Linked DNA regions of Diceros bicornis minor. The protein of the gene in region 1 binds, or shares a complex with, the protein of each later gene. Links are inferred from orthologs where the notes say so. Each region holds a gene or a part of one and is shown in the gene's direction. Other genes may lie near its edges.

Region 1 (5,712 bases):
GCATCCTTCATAGGCATGTTCATCACATCAATTACCTTATAAGGTTTGGACATATTCTGAGGTCAGAACGAGAGCTTTTCGAGAACTAAACCGTCACTTACTTGTTTGCTGTCAATCTATTGCAACCCACTGCACTCTCCATGTGCCTGGTTTAGAAGATGAAACGACGAGCCAGTTTTAACTAAACTAACCTTCCCAACAGGAGAGGGTTCAAGCTCTCCTGGAAGGAGGCGGTGGATTAAAGCCATGCCCAGTGATGCGAGCCAAGCAAACAACGAGAAAGGACAGAGCTGACACTTGCGAGAGTGTAACCTTCCCGAAATTAAAAACATCATTTTCACACAACACAGGATGAACACAGTCAGGGGGCGAAGCTGCTTCAGAAGCGTTTTGAGGAGTCGGTATTCAGACACTTAAGTTCAGGGTAAGAGGGTATAACAGGTTAACGCTCTACAGGCAACAAAGAGCCATCGCCTCCGGGGCGATTCCTCCTGCAGGGCAGGGTCGATTAGCGCCTCCACCAGACGCAGAATGACCCGCGAGCTGCAGTCAAACAGAGGCGCGTCCCCAGGTCACGCAGCCCGTCCCGGGGGTCCGGGGACGTCGAGACTCCACTGTCCGCATCCCCAAGCGTGGGCACTTTCTCTCGACACGCTCGACCCCGGGTAGCGGCTTTTCCATTAGGGGCCACTCAACCAGAGCTGACAAAAAGGCAGTCAAAAACCGCCAGATTTTCCGACAGTAGACTATTTCCAACTACTAGCAGTGAGGATTTACCTCTGGCGTCGGTAATAATGAGAATAATGCTTTCCCCACCACGAGCCGCGCGCCTCCGACCCAGGTCGGCGATAAGGTCGGAAGAAGCGTATAAACGCGGGAGTGTGCGCATCTGGGGACCCGCGCCAGGTTCCCATTCGAGGCATGGCCGCCTGGAGACCCGGCCCGGAGCAGAGGCGCCCTGGCTTGGCCCGCAGCCGGTCTTCCGGGGCTCCGAGTCTACCGTCCCGTTCGGAAACATGTCAGAACCCGCCACCACCACCTCAAACCTTCCAAACGTCCATTTCACACATCCCGGGTCAGCCCGCCCCTCGGCACTTTTTATACGGGGTGGGCGGAGTCCCGCCCCTTGCGAGATATCGCAGGATCTCACATCGCGAGAGCAGGAGCAGCAGCACCGCCCCTTTCCCTGCCTCAAGCTCCCTTTCCCCTTTCAATGAAGAGGAGGCCCCGCTCCTCGCGAGATGCGGCCCCGACGCACGCTCGTACGCACGCTCTTACGCACGCACGCATGCAAGCACGCGTCAGTTCCTGGCGGCGGCGGCGGTGGCGCAGGCGCAGGGCTTTGCTTCCGCTTTCCGCTGCGGCGCGCGCTCTGCTGTTAGCCGAGTCGGGATCATGGCGGCCACGGCCACGATGGCGACTTCGGGCTCGGCGCGGAAGCGGTTGCTCAAAGAGGAAGACATGACCAAAGTGGAATTCGAGACCAGCGAGGAGGTGGACGTGACCCCCACGTTCGACACCATGGGCCTGCGGGAGGACCTACTGCGCGGCATCTACGCCTATGGTCGGTGGGCGCGGGCCGCGGGCCGTTAGCCGGGGATGCGGGCGGGAGTGAGGCTGAGACTGCGAGTCCCGGGCAGGCCCCGGAGGCCGGGGGTTGGAGCCGAGGCCGAGCCGCTGACGGGCGACCCCCGCCCGCAGCACGCCATCCACTACCGCGTTTGCGTCGGTGGGTTCGGTTTTGTCCTCGATGCAGAGCACCGTGCTGGTCCAGCGAGGGCTGCAAAGCCTTCCGGGCCCTTCGGAGTCATTCGTTCCGCGGATAACTGTCCTGTACCTGCCAGGTGCTCCGGACGTGCGCGGCTCTAGGCACTGAGGGTTTAGCAGTGGACCAGACAGGCTCGTGCCCTTAGGTAGCTTAAGTTATGTTTGGGAGACAGACGGCATAGAGCCTAGGCTGCTTCAGGTAGTGGTAATGGCTCTAGAGAAAATAAAGCGGGATAATTGAATGAAGTGTGATTGGAGGGAAAAGAGAGTTACAATACATAGAGAAAATAGATGAGAGGTCTCCCAGAAGGGGCTGACATTTGAGCTGACATCTGGATTAAGGAGCCCTTATGAGAAGACTATGGTAGTACTGGACAGAGGGAGCAGCTGGTGCCAGGGCCCTGTAGCCCTGAGCTGAGTGATTCTAGGAGCAGAAAGAAGCTTCCTGTCGTGAGAGCCCAGGGGCGAGTTTGGAGAGAGAGGCAGGGGCCAGATCTTGCAGAGGATCATATGAGATGATCAAGAACTTGAATTTTATTTCTTTTTTTTTTTTTGTGAGGAGATCAGCCCTGTGCTAACATCTGCCAATCCTCCTCTTTTTTTTGCTGAGGAAGACTGGCCCTGTGCTAACATCCGTGCCCATCTTCCTCCACTTCATATGGGATGCGGCACAGCATGGCTTGCCAGGCAGTGCGTCGGTGCACGCCCGGGATCCGAACCAGCGAACCTCGGGGCCGCCCCAGCAGAACGCGTGCACTTAACCGCTTGCGTCACCGGGCCGGCCCCTGAATTTTATTTCTAAGTGTGGTGGGAAGCCAGTGGAGGATTTTAATCAGGAAAGTGAGACGATTACAGTTACAGAGGTTATCCTGGGTGTCTGTGGATTTGAGGGGAGGATTTGAGGGGAGTTGAGGCAGGAGAGGAAGCAGGGCGATGAGTTAGAGGCTTTTGTTCCAGTCCAGGGGAGAGATGATGGCATTGTGGCCGAGGTGGAGTACTAACAGGGTTCCCTGATGGGTTGAATGGGAGCGGCAGAGGAAGGAGGACTCACGTGATTCCTGGGTGTTGTGAGTAACGGGCAGCATGCTTGCTTAGGTGGGGAGCGCTCGAGGGAGGCAAAGTGGGAAGCTCTGTCTTGGATGTGGTGACCTTGAGGGGCCTGTGAGCCATCCATTTGGAGATGTCGGGAAGGCAGTTGTCTAAGTTGGGAGCTGAGGAAGATCGGTGGTGTTGGAGGTGCAGGTGGGAGTGATCAGCGTCTGCTTAACGCCTGGGATGTCTTTTATCCAGCAGTCCTGATGTCATGGCAGTTTGGATAGAGCAAAGAGAAGGTGCTGAGGGAACGGGAGGTGAAAGAACCATTGCAGCCTGGCCTGAGTGAGGCTGACAGCCCTACGTGCCTCTAGGCACCCAGGGCATCCCTGCCCTAAAACACGGTTTTTAGTTTCCCATTGGTCATCATGAGGAGTTTAAATCATCTGTGGTGTTTGCTTTTGTGCTAGATGGGAAATTATACTACCAAAAAATAATTAAAATACAGTTTTTGTACATAAGTTTTGTTTATTTGGAAAATACTTTTACTCCTTCAGAGTGGCCTCATGCCTTGGTAATTGCTATGCAAGAGGGGTGGTGTTGTAGTTCATGTAGCTACATCAAGTCAGGGAGGAGTACAGTGCTGGACACCCTGCAGTACGACCCGCACGGTAGATTAAATGTAGTTGTAGACAATGTGAACAACCCACATGGGAAGGAGGGCTGACTACAGCGCTGATGGGTTTATTTTCCTTTGTATAATTTAAAAAGTAATACAAAAAAAAAGCATTGCAGGTTATTGTAATGTAGTCAAACAATACAGAAGTAATTGGAGTAAAAAGTGAGCCTCCCCAACCCATTCTCCAGAGGTACCACCGCTAACATTTTGGGTTTTTTTTTGGTGTGTGTGAGGAGGATCAGCCCTGTGCTAACATCTGACAATCCTCCTCGTTTTTTGCTGAGGAAGACTGGCTCTGGGCTAACATCCGTGCCCATATTCCTCCACTTTATATGGGACGCCGCCACAGCATAGCTTGCCAAGCGGTGCCTCCATGTGCGCCAGGGATCCGAACCGGCGAACCCCGGGCCGCCGCAGCGGCGGCGCACGCACTTAACCGCTTGCGCCGCTGGGCCAGTCCCAACATTTTCTTTTTAACTGACTGAGGTCTCTATATTCTGCAGTCATGTTCCTTTTACAGAGATTTTGTCTGTATAAATAAGATCCCCCGTTAGTCAGTATAATAAAAATCTACTTCAGCCCAATTCATTCAGCAGCTGTTTCTTGAGAGCTCAGTGTGTTAGACATTGGGTTAGGCGAGGGTGGGAGTGGGGAGTTAAAAAAAGATACCATTTCTGCCCCGAGGAGCCTACACTGTATGGTTGTAAACATGCTGTCCTGGTGGTTAGGGCTAATTTTTTGTTTTTATTTACAGGTTTTGAAAAACCCTCAGCAATCCAGCAGCGAGCTATCAAGCAGATAATTAAAGGGAGAGATGTCATCGCACAGTAAGTCTGCTCACACAGAGTGGGAATGAGATGCTAGGAAAGCAAAGGGTGGTTCATGCTTTGGGATGACCATTTTTGTCAGTTTTCATACACTCCTTACCAACTCTTTCCTTGACTTTAGCCACAGGGTGTTTTGTTTGTGTTTATGTTTGTGTCTTCTACTTTGGAAAGCCTTCATTTTTTTAGCTAGCTTTACTTACATGTCAGTCAGCATGTGAAATTGTATATAATGCTCTTTTAATAGCTTTATTCCTGGTGCCTAATTTTTAAAGACTCATTTACAAAAAAAAAAAATATATTTTTGGAGGATAGTTTCATTCCAAACTCAAAGAAAAGAATTATAGTTACATAAAGGGGAATCTCTCTTTTCTGCCACCTCTAACACTTGTTGGAGTTACAGCTTCTGTAGCTCCATCACCCCCTGATGCAAAAGCCACATCTGCTGTGCTCATCACCAGTGATTTAAAAGTTGTGACACGGTGCCTGAGTCCCGCCCTTGCAGTTAAGATATTGATGGTCTTTTGTGGGGGGTCGGGAGGCGTCTGCTTGGAAGAAGCTGCCAAGTGCTTCTGCCCCTGCCCCTGGAGCACTGCTGTGGGGGGGCTTATATGAATGGGCACAGTGGCAGGTGGCCCAGCATTCTAAATCCCATTTGTGTTTTCTTTACTAGATCTCAGTCTGGTACAGGCAAAACAGCCACCTTCAGTATTTCCGTCCTCCAGTGTTTGGATATTCAGGTAATTTGCCACTCTTAAAACAAACCTCTCTTTAATCTTAGGAAATACTTCATTTTTCTATGGTAACTGCAGTGTTCAAAAAGTGCAGTTTTTAGGAGGCCGGCCTGGTGGCGTAGCAGTTAAGCTCATGTGTTCCACTTTGGCGCCCTGGGGTTCACCAGTTTGGATCCTGGGCTCGGACCTACTCACCGCTCATCAAGCCATGCTGAGGCGGCGTCCCATATAGAAGAGCTACAACTCTACAACTATGATGCACAACTATGTTTTGGGGAGAAAAAAGAAGAAAGAAGAAGATTGACAACAGACGTTAGTGTAGGGCCAATGTTCCTCAAAAAAAAAAAAAAGTGCAGTTTTTAAATTTCTCTAATTGTACTGACTCAAATTTTTTAAGAAAATCTTAATTGCACACTAATGTCTGAGCTAATGCCCTGTCATAAATTTCTTTTTATTTAAAGCGGGAGATTTTTTAAACTAGTGGAAATTCTTGTGTGCAAACAAGAATCCTGACCAGTATACCCCATTATTACTGGGTTTGTGGTTTGAGTAACATTCAGGTTTGCTTACCTCTGTTAGAAATCAGATGTGTGGTGAATGTGAGATAATATTCGAAATAGATCTGAGTGTAAATTAATGCAGTCTACCTTGAAAATACTGAAAATTCTCTCTTTGC
Region 2 (5,712 bases), on another chromosome or scaffold:
TCTGGGCCCTCTATCTGGAACATTTCCTTCAGGAAGACTTCCCTTAGGCCCTTAGACTGGATTAGGAGCCACACTATGTGTTTCCAGAGTTTTCTGTGCTTCCCCTATTTGTAACCTTTATTCCTACATTATAATTGCTTGTATGCTCCTTAATTGCCTCCTCTGCAAGCTCTATAAAGGTCTGCCCTGCTCACCATTGTATCCCCAGCACACGACGCAGTAGATACTCAGTAAATTATGCTGAATTCAGGCACATCAGACACACAGACTATGCTCTTTCAGCTATACCATGTTGTCTCATACCCAAAAAACTGGATCACTTTACAGCCTGACTGGAGTCTGGTGTCTTAAATTTTCTCAGCACTTTCGTTATTTGCCACATCTACAGATGCCCAGATTCACCAGTTACATTATAATTTCACTCTTGGGAAATAACCTTGTAGTAATTACCTGATGTCTCTATATACTTAACTCCAATTACCACCTCAAGATGGTTCTGAAAATTCAAAGAACAAGTACTTGTAAATGGGCTCAACCTAGGAGCTGACATTTATTAGGTGTTTAATACCTGGTGAGTCCTTTCTCTTTTTTTATAATTCCCTTGTTACCACCCATATCCAGTGTTTTGTAATAAAATGCCTTATGGTTTTATACCAATGTACAGTTTTCCAATTTCCAAGACATTGTTTCTTATCCTTACAACAGTTCTGCCTGGTATCTAACATTATTATGTTCATTTTAAAGATAAGGAACCTAAGGTCCGAAAAATTCAATCAGTTCACCTTCGGTCACAGTCAATCACTGTCACACAAGGGATATTTTAACTGAAGTCTCCAGTGACTTGCCCCCCCCCCCACATACACCCACTCCACACTCTGCCACCAATGCTTTTTCAGGGAGAAAAGGAGTAGTGGCAAGACCGAGAATGAGAATCAGAGACCCCTGGCCTGATTAGCATACAGTTATAGTCACCAGGCCCTGAGAACGATGCTATCTCAGCACTCTCTCGAGAACCGATTCCATTCCCCCTGTGGCTGGAACTTGCATGAGCTAAGGCAGGCTTCCATAATTAGGATTTGATCGCCCTTGGCCTATTCGACAAGTAAAATTTTCTCACAGCCAGAAAGCCTTCACAGAGGTCAACCACTTTGTAGAGCCTCTTGGGCAGTAGTCCTTAACCTTGAGCAACCCGGAGAGCTTTGCAGAAAAATCCGGACGCCCAGGTCTAGGGGGGTGGGGGGTGGACACGGGTGGAGGGATGCACTTATATGGTGACTGACAATAACGTACAACAAAAATTTCACAATAAAAAAACAACTATAAAAAAAAAAAATCCGGACGCCCAGGGCCACCGGGAGAGATTTTGATCTAACTGGTTTGGGGCGGGGCGCCGGCTCAGTACTTTTTAGCTGTTTGAGGTGATTCTCCCCTGCAGCCAGGGCTGGCAATCACCGCTGGGTAAGCACTGCAGAGACTGGGGAGTGGGACACCAAATATTCAACTTCTACACACAGCACGTGCTCTAGAGACCAGTGAGGTAGAGAGGGAAAGGGAGAAATTAAAAGGTAGAAAGAGATAAAATGGGGGGAAAGCGCGCGCGCGCCTTAGTTTCAGGGAAATGGCGGTCTCCACTGTGCACTCGGAAAGCGTCGCCGACAACGGTCCTGAACCGGTCGGAGGCAGCTTTGGACACACGCACCGTCGTGCGCGGCGCTCTCCTGTGAGGTCGGGTCATTTTACCCCATTTCACTGTCGAGGCGACCTAGGTCCAGAGACGGTGAAGGGCCTTGTCCGACTCACACAAGTCGGGTGCCTTTTCAATGGAGGCTGGCCCCGGACGGACGCAGGACTCTGGGGCTTCACCCCCAGGTCTTGAGGCGAGGTGTCCAGACGCCCCGCCGAAGCCCAGAGGCCCTCGGACGCCTTGCCCTCACGCCTCGGAGAACCCGGGCGGCCGAGCCCCAGCCGTGTTCCCGCCTCGGGCTGGGGGGCGGGGCTGCGCTGACCCCGCCCCCGGATGAAAGGCGCCATGTTTCCGCCGGAAGGCTGGGCAGACTCGTCCCCACCTCCGGGCGCGGGGGTGGAGGAAGCCCTCCTCCACGGGCGACGGCGTTGCCTTGACGTCACTTCCGCGCGCCGCCGTAAACGTCAGTATCGGGCGCATACGGCGGCGGTGTGGGTCGCTGTTAAAGTTCGGTCTCGGTTAGTTTTTGCGAGCCATGGAGAGTGACTTTTATCTGCGTTACTACGTGGGTCACAAGGGCAAGTTCGGCCACGAGTTCTTGGAGTTTGAGTTCCGACCCGACGGTAAGAGCGGCCTCCCGCCTCCCGGGAGTGAGGACTAGGCCTGGGGGCGGGCGAGTCGGGAGGCCTGGGGTCCGGGAAGTGCGAGGAACTAGGAGAAGGGAATGAGATGTGTGCAGTGCGGATCTGAAAGGAACGCGCCTGTGTCCTCCCCGCTGGTTGTTTTGTCCATGTGCAGGGACTTCTGTTTAGTGACATTTTTGACCAGAGTGCTTTCATTAACAAACATTGATTGAACGCCCACTTCGCGCCAGGTTCTGTTCCACAATCTGGGATACGGGAGTGAGCGATAGACAAGCTTCCTCTGCGTGGAACTTGCAGTCAAGTGCTGGGAGAGAGATCATAAACAAAAAAGATTCCAGATAGTGATGAGTGGTCAGAAAATAAAACAAAATGATGGAATAATTGCGAGTGGGCTGCTTTTAGATAGAGTGGCCATTGGAGAGCTCTCTGAAGAGGGGAAATTTGAACTCAGCCCTGATTGACAAGAAGGAGCCAGCCTTGTGAAGCTCAGAAGGAAGAGCATTCTAGACTAAACGGAATAACAGGTGTCAAGGCCATAGGGCAGGAATGAGCTAGGCATGTTTTAGGTGTCCAATGTGACTGAAGAGTAGTGAGCTCTGGAGAGAATAATATGAGATGATATCGGATAAGTAGGCAGGGGTCACACCACGTAGGTCTTTATGGGCGGTGGTAAAGAGTTTGGATTTTATTTTAAGCGCAGCAGGAAACACTTGGAAAGTTTTAAGCAGAGAAGAGATGTGATCTGTTCTTGAAAAAGTATTCTAATTATTGGGTGCAGAATGGGCAAGAGGGGAAACAAAGTGGAGAAAAGAATTTACGATGCTGTGGGAGACAGAACCAATAGGACTTTGCTGATAGAATTTGGGGGAGGGGGCACTGTGGTGAAGGAAAGAGGAATCAAAGATGACAGAAATCTCCCCCTAAATGGGGGCATGGAGATGAATCTGACAAGCCCCAATTGTGAAGGAGAAAGATTTGTAAAGAAACAGTGAAAAAACAATGTAATAGGTGCTGTGGTAGAAAGAAATGGAAGAGACTCTGGGAGCAGAAAGAAGGCACCTAACCTAGCCGGAGGGTCAGAGAAGGCTTCCTGCATAAAATGACTTGGGGCAGAGGGGGTGTAAGTCTTTAGTAATGTGTAGGGGTTGGTTAGGCAGATGACAGTCAAGAAGGCATTTTGGAGCCAGCCCTGATGGCCTAGTGGTTAAAGTTGGGTGCTCACTGCTTCGAGGCCCGGGTTGGCTTCCCGGTCTCGGAACCACACCACGTGTCTGTCAGTTGCCATGCTGTGGCGGCAGCTCATATAGAAGAACTAGCAAGACTTACAACTGGGATGTACAACCACGTACTGGGGCTTTGGGGAGGGGAAAAAAAAAAGAGAAAATTGGCAACAGATGTTGGCCCAGGGCGACTCTTTCCCTGCAAAAAAATAAATAAATATGGGCCGGCCCGGTTGGCGCAAGCGGTTAAGTGCACGCGCTCCACTGTGGCTGCCCCGGGTTTGCCGGTTCGGAATCCTGGGTGCGCACCGACGCACCGCTTGTCAAGCCATGCTGTGGCGGCGTCCCATATAAAGTGGAGGAAGATGGGCATGGATGTTAGCCCAGGGCCAGTCTTCCTCAGCAAAAAGAGGAGGATTGGCAGATGTTAGCTCAGGGCCGATCTTCCTCACAAAAAAATAAATAAATAAATAAAAGGCATTTTGGACAGCATTAAAGGCAGAGGCTGAAAACCAAAAAGGGGCATGGCATGTATTGGGCAGAAACCAAGTAGTTCGATTAACTCCGGCCGTGTGAGAGAGGAATCTTGCAGGAGTGACACTGGAAAGGCAGGGAGGGGCTCAGCTTAGCAGTATGCCATGTTGAGGAATTTGGATTTTATCAAGAAGACAGTGGGAAACCATTGTCAGTATCAAAATATTAGAGTAACCTAATCAGACAGATTGTTACTACATCACTTTGTCCACTGTATGGAGAGTAAACCGAAAGGAGGGAGATGAGACTGACAGTGCAGAGGCTGTGGAAATAATTTGACTCTTCGCACATGTATGCCTCTATTCTACAGAGAAGAAATCATCTGTTTTCTTTTATCTTCTCATTCGTACCCACCATATACCCAAATTAGCCTGTTGGATGCACATATGCACAAAAGGCTAGTATACCAAACGTGCAATAATAAAACCACAACTTTTCCATCACCAGAATAAATCAGAGTGTTGCACGGTCACATGATAATATATGCAAACAGTATTTTACAGTTTTCAGAATGCTTTCTACGACTCATTTAAGCCTCAGGAGGCCCTGTGTGCAGGTAAGTTATCAATTATTATCTTTATTTTCAGCTGAGGACATTAATCTGCAGAGAGATGATTTGCCCAAGTCACCAAGAGCCTGCTGATGTTCTTTTATCACACCTGAGCTGCCTTTTGCAAGAACTGTAATTCAGTGTCAGCTGTATTTTTGGCTGTGAGGCTATTTAATTAAAGTGAAGAACTGAAAAAACTAGTATTGTTGAAACACCAAAGGTGTAAATAGTAAATCTGTTAGACACTTTGAAGGGACAGTTAGGATACATTTTAAGCAACAGCTGATAGTGTTGGTAGGCTAAATGCTCTATTCATTTGTTTTTATTATACATTGAATTTGTTTTTTGTCCCTCACAGGGAAATTGAGATATGCCAACAACAGCAATTACAAAAATGATGTCATGATCAGAAAAGAGGTAATGAGCCTTCTGAGAGCCTTTCATTCACTACAGTTTAGCCTTTTGTATTTTTGTTCTTTCTGGGAGTAGTGTTGAAAGATAAAGAATAGAGAAGTATAGACACATGTCTGTAGACTGCTTTTAAAGTTTTTCTCAAATCTTCTTTTAGTTTATATTTTCTTTCACTATGCTGAGTCAATTACTGGTAATCATTTGAATCTTGGTTTGAACCCTGAATCTGCTACTTACTAACCATGTGACCTTGGGCAGTTTCCCTGGCTGAACTCGATAAGTCTCAGTTTGTTCATCTGCAAAGACAGAAATAATAAAACCTACTCTCTACTCCCCCAGTGCTGTTGTGGAATTAAATATGTAATACTTAAAGTGTTTGGTATATTCTTTGGCACATAGCACTCAATAGAGAGAGCTATTTAATTTGCATCTGAATGGGGAAAGGGAGCATGGGAAAGCAGTTAACATCATTGAATGCATGTTCAATGCCAGGTGTGGCACTAGGTATTTTACATACCTGATCTTATTTAACCCTGATTGTAAGTCTGTGTGATGGGTGGTATTATATACCCTTTACAGATAAGAAAATGAAGGCCCAGATGTTAATTATGGGGCTTGCAAGTAAGAGATAGAAGGGAAGTTCAGACCTGTGCCTGCCTCTGTCAAGTC
Region 3 (5,712 bases), on another chromosome or scaffold:
AGTGGACACATGTGGCTATTTAAATATTAATTTAAATTCATACAAATTAAGTAATATTTAAAAATAAAAAAATTCAGTTTCTCAGTCTCACAAGCCACATTTCAAGTGCTCAGTAGCCATTCAGAACGTTTCCACGTCTCTGCAACATCCAAAAAGAACACAAAACACAAACGCTTTATCCCTTTGCAATCCTTACAGTGATACTAGATACCAGCCCTGCTGGTCTCGTGCTTAAGATTTGGTGCTCTCACCGCTGCGGCCTGGGTTCGTCTTTCCGGTCAGCGAACCACACCACCCATCTGTCAGTTGTCATAGTGTGGCAGCCGCATGTTGCTGTGATGCTGAAAGCTCTGCCACCAGTATTTCAAACACCAGCAGGGTCGCCCATGCTGGACAGGTTTCAGCAGAGCTTCCAGACTAAGACAGACTAGGAAGAAGGACCCGGCCACCCACTTCCAGAAAAACTGGCGGTGAAAACTCTATGACTAGCAGTGAAGCACTCTCTGATACAGCACTGGAAGGTGAGAGGTTGGCACAAAAAGACGGGGCAGGGTTCTGTTCTGCTTTACACGGGGTCCCCAGGAGGTGACTAGACAGCACTAACATAGTGATACTAGAGATATACATTTTGACGTTTTTTAGGGGGCTAAATATATGACGGATTAAGTACACATATTTTCACATTTCATCTTAAAAACAGGGTTAGAAAGGATTAGTCTTGAGCTCAGGAGTCTTTTTAGGGGATAAAGACAACAATTGGCCCACAGATAAAGTTCTTAACACTGTATATTCCTTAAGTTCCGTAGTCACAGTTCTGGTAGCTGTAGCTCTATTCCAGTAGGCATGAGGATGAACACTGGCACATGTGCCAAAAATCTGAATAAATGCATTAGGGAATCGAAAGATACTGAATGAGGCTCCCTACAAAAAAACTCCCACAAAACAAATGGATTATGCCTATATTTTCAGAGATACTATGCAACAGTGTGGTCCAATTTCTGTGCGGTATTCTTGTAGTAAGTACAGTGACCAATTCATTTTAGTTTGCCTGGGACTTTCCAGGTTTTAAAACTGAAAGTCCCTCATCTGAGGAAACTCCTCAGTCCTGGGCAAAGTGAAATGGTTAATTTTCACCCCAGTGTTAAGGGATGGTTCTTTATGTTTCTTGTGTATTTTCCATAATGGCAGCCTATAGTACGAACTGAATAATTTTTCTATATTAACACTTATACAATGGTTAATATGGATTTCTATATTGACAGTTATACAATTAATATAGACTCAACATAACCTGGCCCAGTCTGCCTTTCTAGTTTTTCCACTTACATGAACCTTATGTTCTAGCTATACTAAATTTTTTGGCTTTCCCACATCACGCATTTTCATACAACTGTGTCTTTGCTCAGGCTGTTTTCTTCCTGAAATGCTTTCCCATCCCTCTGAACATATACTGAACTTATCCAACAAGGTCCTATTCAAATAGCACATTTTGTCACAAGCCTTCCCTGATACTTCCCTTTCTTCAACTTCCTCTATTCTCCAATAAAGTGACTTGCTTCCTCTGTGTACTACCAGCACTTAAAAAAATTCTTTCTTATACCAATTGCTACCTTGTGCAATTATTGGTCTACATGTTTGCTTTCTTTTACAGACTACAAGTGCAAAGGGCTCTATCTTTTTATTACTAGTGTCCAACCCTTTCTGGCACATAGGAAATGCTTGTCAATGAGTTTTGACAAACTCATTATATAATGTTTTATAAATTTTAAAGTTTATTTTACATGCAGTACCTCATTTGATCCTCTCAACAATTCTGTGAGCTTGGAAAAATTGACTGTAGAATATTCACTTGGTTGATGAACAAACAGGCTCAGAGATAGTGACGTGACCAAGGTTAGGTAGAGGTACGTGTTGGGAATGAATCCCAGGTCTTCTGACAGCCACTCTTTCTACTAAATCCCACTGGAGGTTAAAGGTCACCCAACAGGCAGGATTAGTTTGTGTGTTGATAAAAGGAGGGTGGTCATTAATATTTGAAGAATAGACTGTGTAAAAGCTCACCCTGTGTTTCCTCATTATTCAAGCTCCATCCCACACTAGAGCATTCGTTCACTTCTCCAATTTAGTTTTATTTGGTAGGAAACGTGGGCTAAAACATTTGATTTTAAGTCATATTGCCAACACTCCACAGGCCACTGAAGATTAACCTTTACTGAATGAAAGAAGTTTTGCTATTAAAAGGAACTCTTTTATACCATGACTGTAAGGAATTTTCAGTGTCAATGTGCCTTTCAAAATTTCACACCTTTTGTCTGATGGATTCTTTCTACTTTGTCTCTATTATTACAGGTTTCTAGCTGCCGGATAACTAGCAATCCTTGTCCAAAGGGGAAAGCCCCGTGTTAGAAACCTACCAGGAGAAAGCGTTGTATCCAAGTCTGCCACCTATTCTGGGCTTTATCTTTACTCATCCCACCATTTAAAGGGGAATGATGCCACAGCAAGCTCAAAAAATCCCGCGAGAATTAGAGACTCGGAAAAAGCGATTTGCATACCTTCTTCCTAAGCCCATAAAAAAGGCTATCGTATTTTCACACTTCTCTGCTTTGCTAATATAATTGGATCTATTTAATTTGGAAAGTAATGTGCTTCCAATCCTAGTAAAGCTACATACACGTCGCTACTACCCTCCATCCCGTACCTCCGGGTCTCTCCGAGACGCCACCTTCCCCCTTTCCCCTGGGGACCCGGGAGGCGGAAAGGGCGCGCCCGTGGTGACGATTTTATCCTGGGCGACTGACGTCACTGCCAGGCGCCCGGCGGCACGGTGGCCAGGCCTTCGGCGGGCTTTCCGGGAACGAAAATGGCTATGGCCAGCGATTTTTACCTGCGCTACTACGTAGGGCACAAGGGAAAATTTGGACACGAGTTTCTGGAGTTTGAGTTTCGGCCCGACGGTGAGCAGAGGAGTGGCCGCCGGGGCCGCACCCAGCGCGGCGCTGAGCTCGGGGAAGCTCGGGGCTGGCCGCGGAGGAGGCGGGGTGGGGTGTGCGAGCCTCCGCGGGTTTGCAAGCGCTGCTTGAGACGAAGTAAAGAGGAGCTAAGGAATATAAGAGGTTAAATTGGTTTTGTGAATAAAAGATAATTAAAGGGTGGAAATTAATTCAGAAAAGCCACTCATGCCAGATACTGAAAAGCTGAACCCACGTTAATCAGAATCCTAGAATCAGCACACCGGAAGAGACTTTCAATGCCATCTGGTTTATCGACCTAATACGTGCTTGAACATTTTTAAGAACACCCCACCACGCGGTGGTCCGATGGATACTTACAATCTTCCCGGACCAGTAACTTTCCGACTACCCATTCATCCATTTTATTCATTCAGGCGCTGTATGTAAGGCAACATGTCGAAAAACGAAGGAGACCTGCTCCGAAGGGGGGCGCTCGACGTGTAGAAAAATGAGTGTTTTGCGTACTTAAATACAGTTATTCTTCATTGGATGTATTAAGAATATAAAAAAAGGCGAGCGGTTAGTTCTACATGAAGGAATCGGGGAAAACTTTCTAGAGAAGGTGACAGTTGAGATGAGTCTTGAAATGAGAGTAGGTATTTTCTTGGCCTCTGAGAAAAAAAGTCAGACTGCTGAGAGCTGCCTGAGCCTAGGGCGAGGTGGAACTGCCTGCTGCCCATGTAGTGTGAAGCAGAGTCTATCTTTTCACAGCTCTGATTCTCTTTAGAGAGTGTTGTTGTATACTGAACTCTTCTGGAAACAAGGACGGTCCAACTGCGTAGACGTTTCTTTTTTGAAAGCATATTATTTGCTGGGCTACGTGTAAATACGAAAATTGAATTTACAACGAGTAAGACTTTAATTATCCTCAAGGAGTTAAATGTTTTGATGAGGGACACAGACATGAAACTAACCATAAAGCAGTATGGATATTAAGTGTTAGGTGCTATGTTCATGCTTTGGACAAAGTTCTGTGAAAGCATGAAAGAAAAATTAGGAGAGGATCACATATTACAAAAGGGGAAGAGTATCAGACGTTTCAGGCAGAACGTAAGGAACTAGAACCCTGCAATTATTTAGAAACTTTCATCACCTTATTCTCAGATCTCTTCCAAATGTAGCTAAAGAGCCAATTTACCTGAATTCTCTATCTGTTCTTTCCTTTTGTGATATTGTTTTCAGTGCGTTTGTCTGTGAACATCATTTAGCTTGTTCATGTTACTTTTATCCAGTGACATAAATTGTCTATTATTATCAGGGAAATTTCATGCCTGAACAGTGGTTCTCATCCATTTGTCTGCCACCACACCATCCACGTACTTTGATCAGTAATAGTGACTCACAAAGACAGTGATTCCTAAGGGATTCACCTCATTAGGGTAACCTATCATTTTAGAGGATCAGGACCACATTACATTTTACCTGGACAACTGACTAGGCGTGAGGAGAAGCATGTATCAGGGAGTACAAAAGTCATGATGGATTAAAATTAAACATAGATCAGCTAACAAACTGGCCAGCCTTTATCCAGAAGCAGCACATAGTTTGTATGCTTCCTAGTCACGATTCTAAACTATTAGCATTGCCATATTATATACATACATTAATTTGAAAGAAAATAATTAAAAGAACATTTTGGAGTAGCGAGGAAAGCGTGAGTATTGGAGGAAGGTAGATCTAGATCTGCATCTTGTGTGACCTTGGGCAAGTTACTTAACTGTTTTCTCACCTATGAATAGGTGAGAGAATAAAACCTACATTTTAGGGTTGTTTTACAGATTAGATTAAATGCTCTGGGTAAATCACTTAGCACAAATACAGACATATAAAATAAACTTTAAAAGAAACGTTTCTTCCTTTTTCAGCTTCCCTGTCTAGTTCATGACATAGCTTAAGAAAATGGCCCTTCCATTATATTTAATTACATTGAAGGCGTGGAATACTTAAAAATTATATTGAATATTTAAAAATTATATCAAAGGCATAGAATATTTAAAAATTTGAGTAGCTTCAACTGCAGCCAATTTACCAGTAAATTTTTGAGTATTTATATGTCTAGCATTGATCTTATGCTAGGAGGGAGGAAATATTAATAAAACTAGTAGTATAAAATAGTCTTTATGTTCAAAATTGCTTACGATGTCATTTATCTTTTTTTAGCAGTTTTTGCTGTTATAGATTGAATTGTTTTCCACTCCCCACAGGAAAGCTTAGATATGCCAACAACAGCAATTACAAAAATGATGTCATGATCAGAAAAGAGGTAAGGTTTTTTTGAATGTATAACTTTTTACATTTAGCTCATTTTCTTCTTGTCTGTGTTGAATTTACTAAAGTATATCTAAGCTGTACTGTAAAAAAGAAGCCAATTTATAGATTGAAAAGGGATTCTACTTAAATCAGGTATAATTGTAGCATCTGTAACAACGAAAGAAGCAATCTGAATATATTAATTTGTAGTCCCACATTTGAACATATCATTTAATTCATTTTATAATTTGTCATTTTACTCTATTCACTGTTAATTGATAATCATGATTTAAACACAGTATGAACTTTAAATGAAAGGCCTAAAAGTTGGAGATAAGAAAAAGTTCAGAGCACTATGATGTGCACTTGCGTTTGTCTCTGTTCACCTCATAGGTTTTGCATTGTCACCATTAACCGCTTGGAGATGTTTGAATCCCATGTTACAAAG

Evidence for each region.
Region 2: EIF4A3 (region 1) and MAGOH share a complex: the UniProt entries of both Homo sapiens proteins name them as parts of the ALYREF/THOC4-EJC-RNA complex. The link is inferred for Diceros bicornis minor from reciprocal best matches to the Homo sapiens genes EIF4A3 and MAGOH.
Region 3: EIF4A3 (region 1) and MAGOHB share a complex: the UniProt entries of both Homo sapiens proteins name them as parts of the mRNA splicing-dependent exon junction complex. The link is inferred for Diceros bicornis minor from reciprocal best matches to the Homo sapiens genes EIF4A3 and MAGOHB.

Annotation. Positions count from the first base shown.
Region 1 is NC_080757.1:59,715,883-59,721,594, reverse strand, and holds the start of EIF4A3 (eukaryotic initiation factor 4A-III), read left to right. Parts: upstream 1-1,375; 5' UTR 1,376-1,395; coding exon 1,396-1,564; intron 1,565-4,232; coding exon 4,233-4,305; intron 4,306-4,975; coding exon 4,976-5,042; intron 5,043-5,712. UniProt on the Homo sapiens protein: ATP-dependent RNA helicase. Involved in pre-mRNA splicing as component of the spliceosome. Core component of the splicing-dependent multiprotein exon junction complex (EJC) deposited at splice junctions on mRNAs.
Region 2 is NC_080752.1:15,567,080-15,572,791, reverse strand, and holds the start of MAGOH (protein mago nashi homolog), read left to right. Parts: upstream 1-2,152; 5' UTR 2,153-2,219; coding exon 2,220-2,307; intron 2,308-4,990; coding exon 4,991-5,049; intron 5,050-5,712. UniProt on the Homo sapiens protein: Required for pre-mRNA splicing as component of the spliceosome. Plays a redundant role with MAGOHB as core component of the exon junction complex (EJC) and in the nonsense-mediated decay (NMD) pathway.
Region 3 is NC_080756.1:50,347,597-50,353,308, forward strand, and holds the start of MAGOHB (protein mago nashi homolog 2), read left to right. Parts: upstream 1-2,822; 5' UTR 2,823-2,863; coding exon 2,864-2,957; intron 2,958-5,174; exon of another isoform or gene 5,175-5,218; coding exon 5,219-5,277; intron 5,278-5,712. UniProt on the Homo sapiens protein: Required for pre-mRNA splicing as component of the spliceosome. Plays a redundant role with MAGOH in the exon junction complex and in the nonsense-mediated decay (NMD) pathway.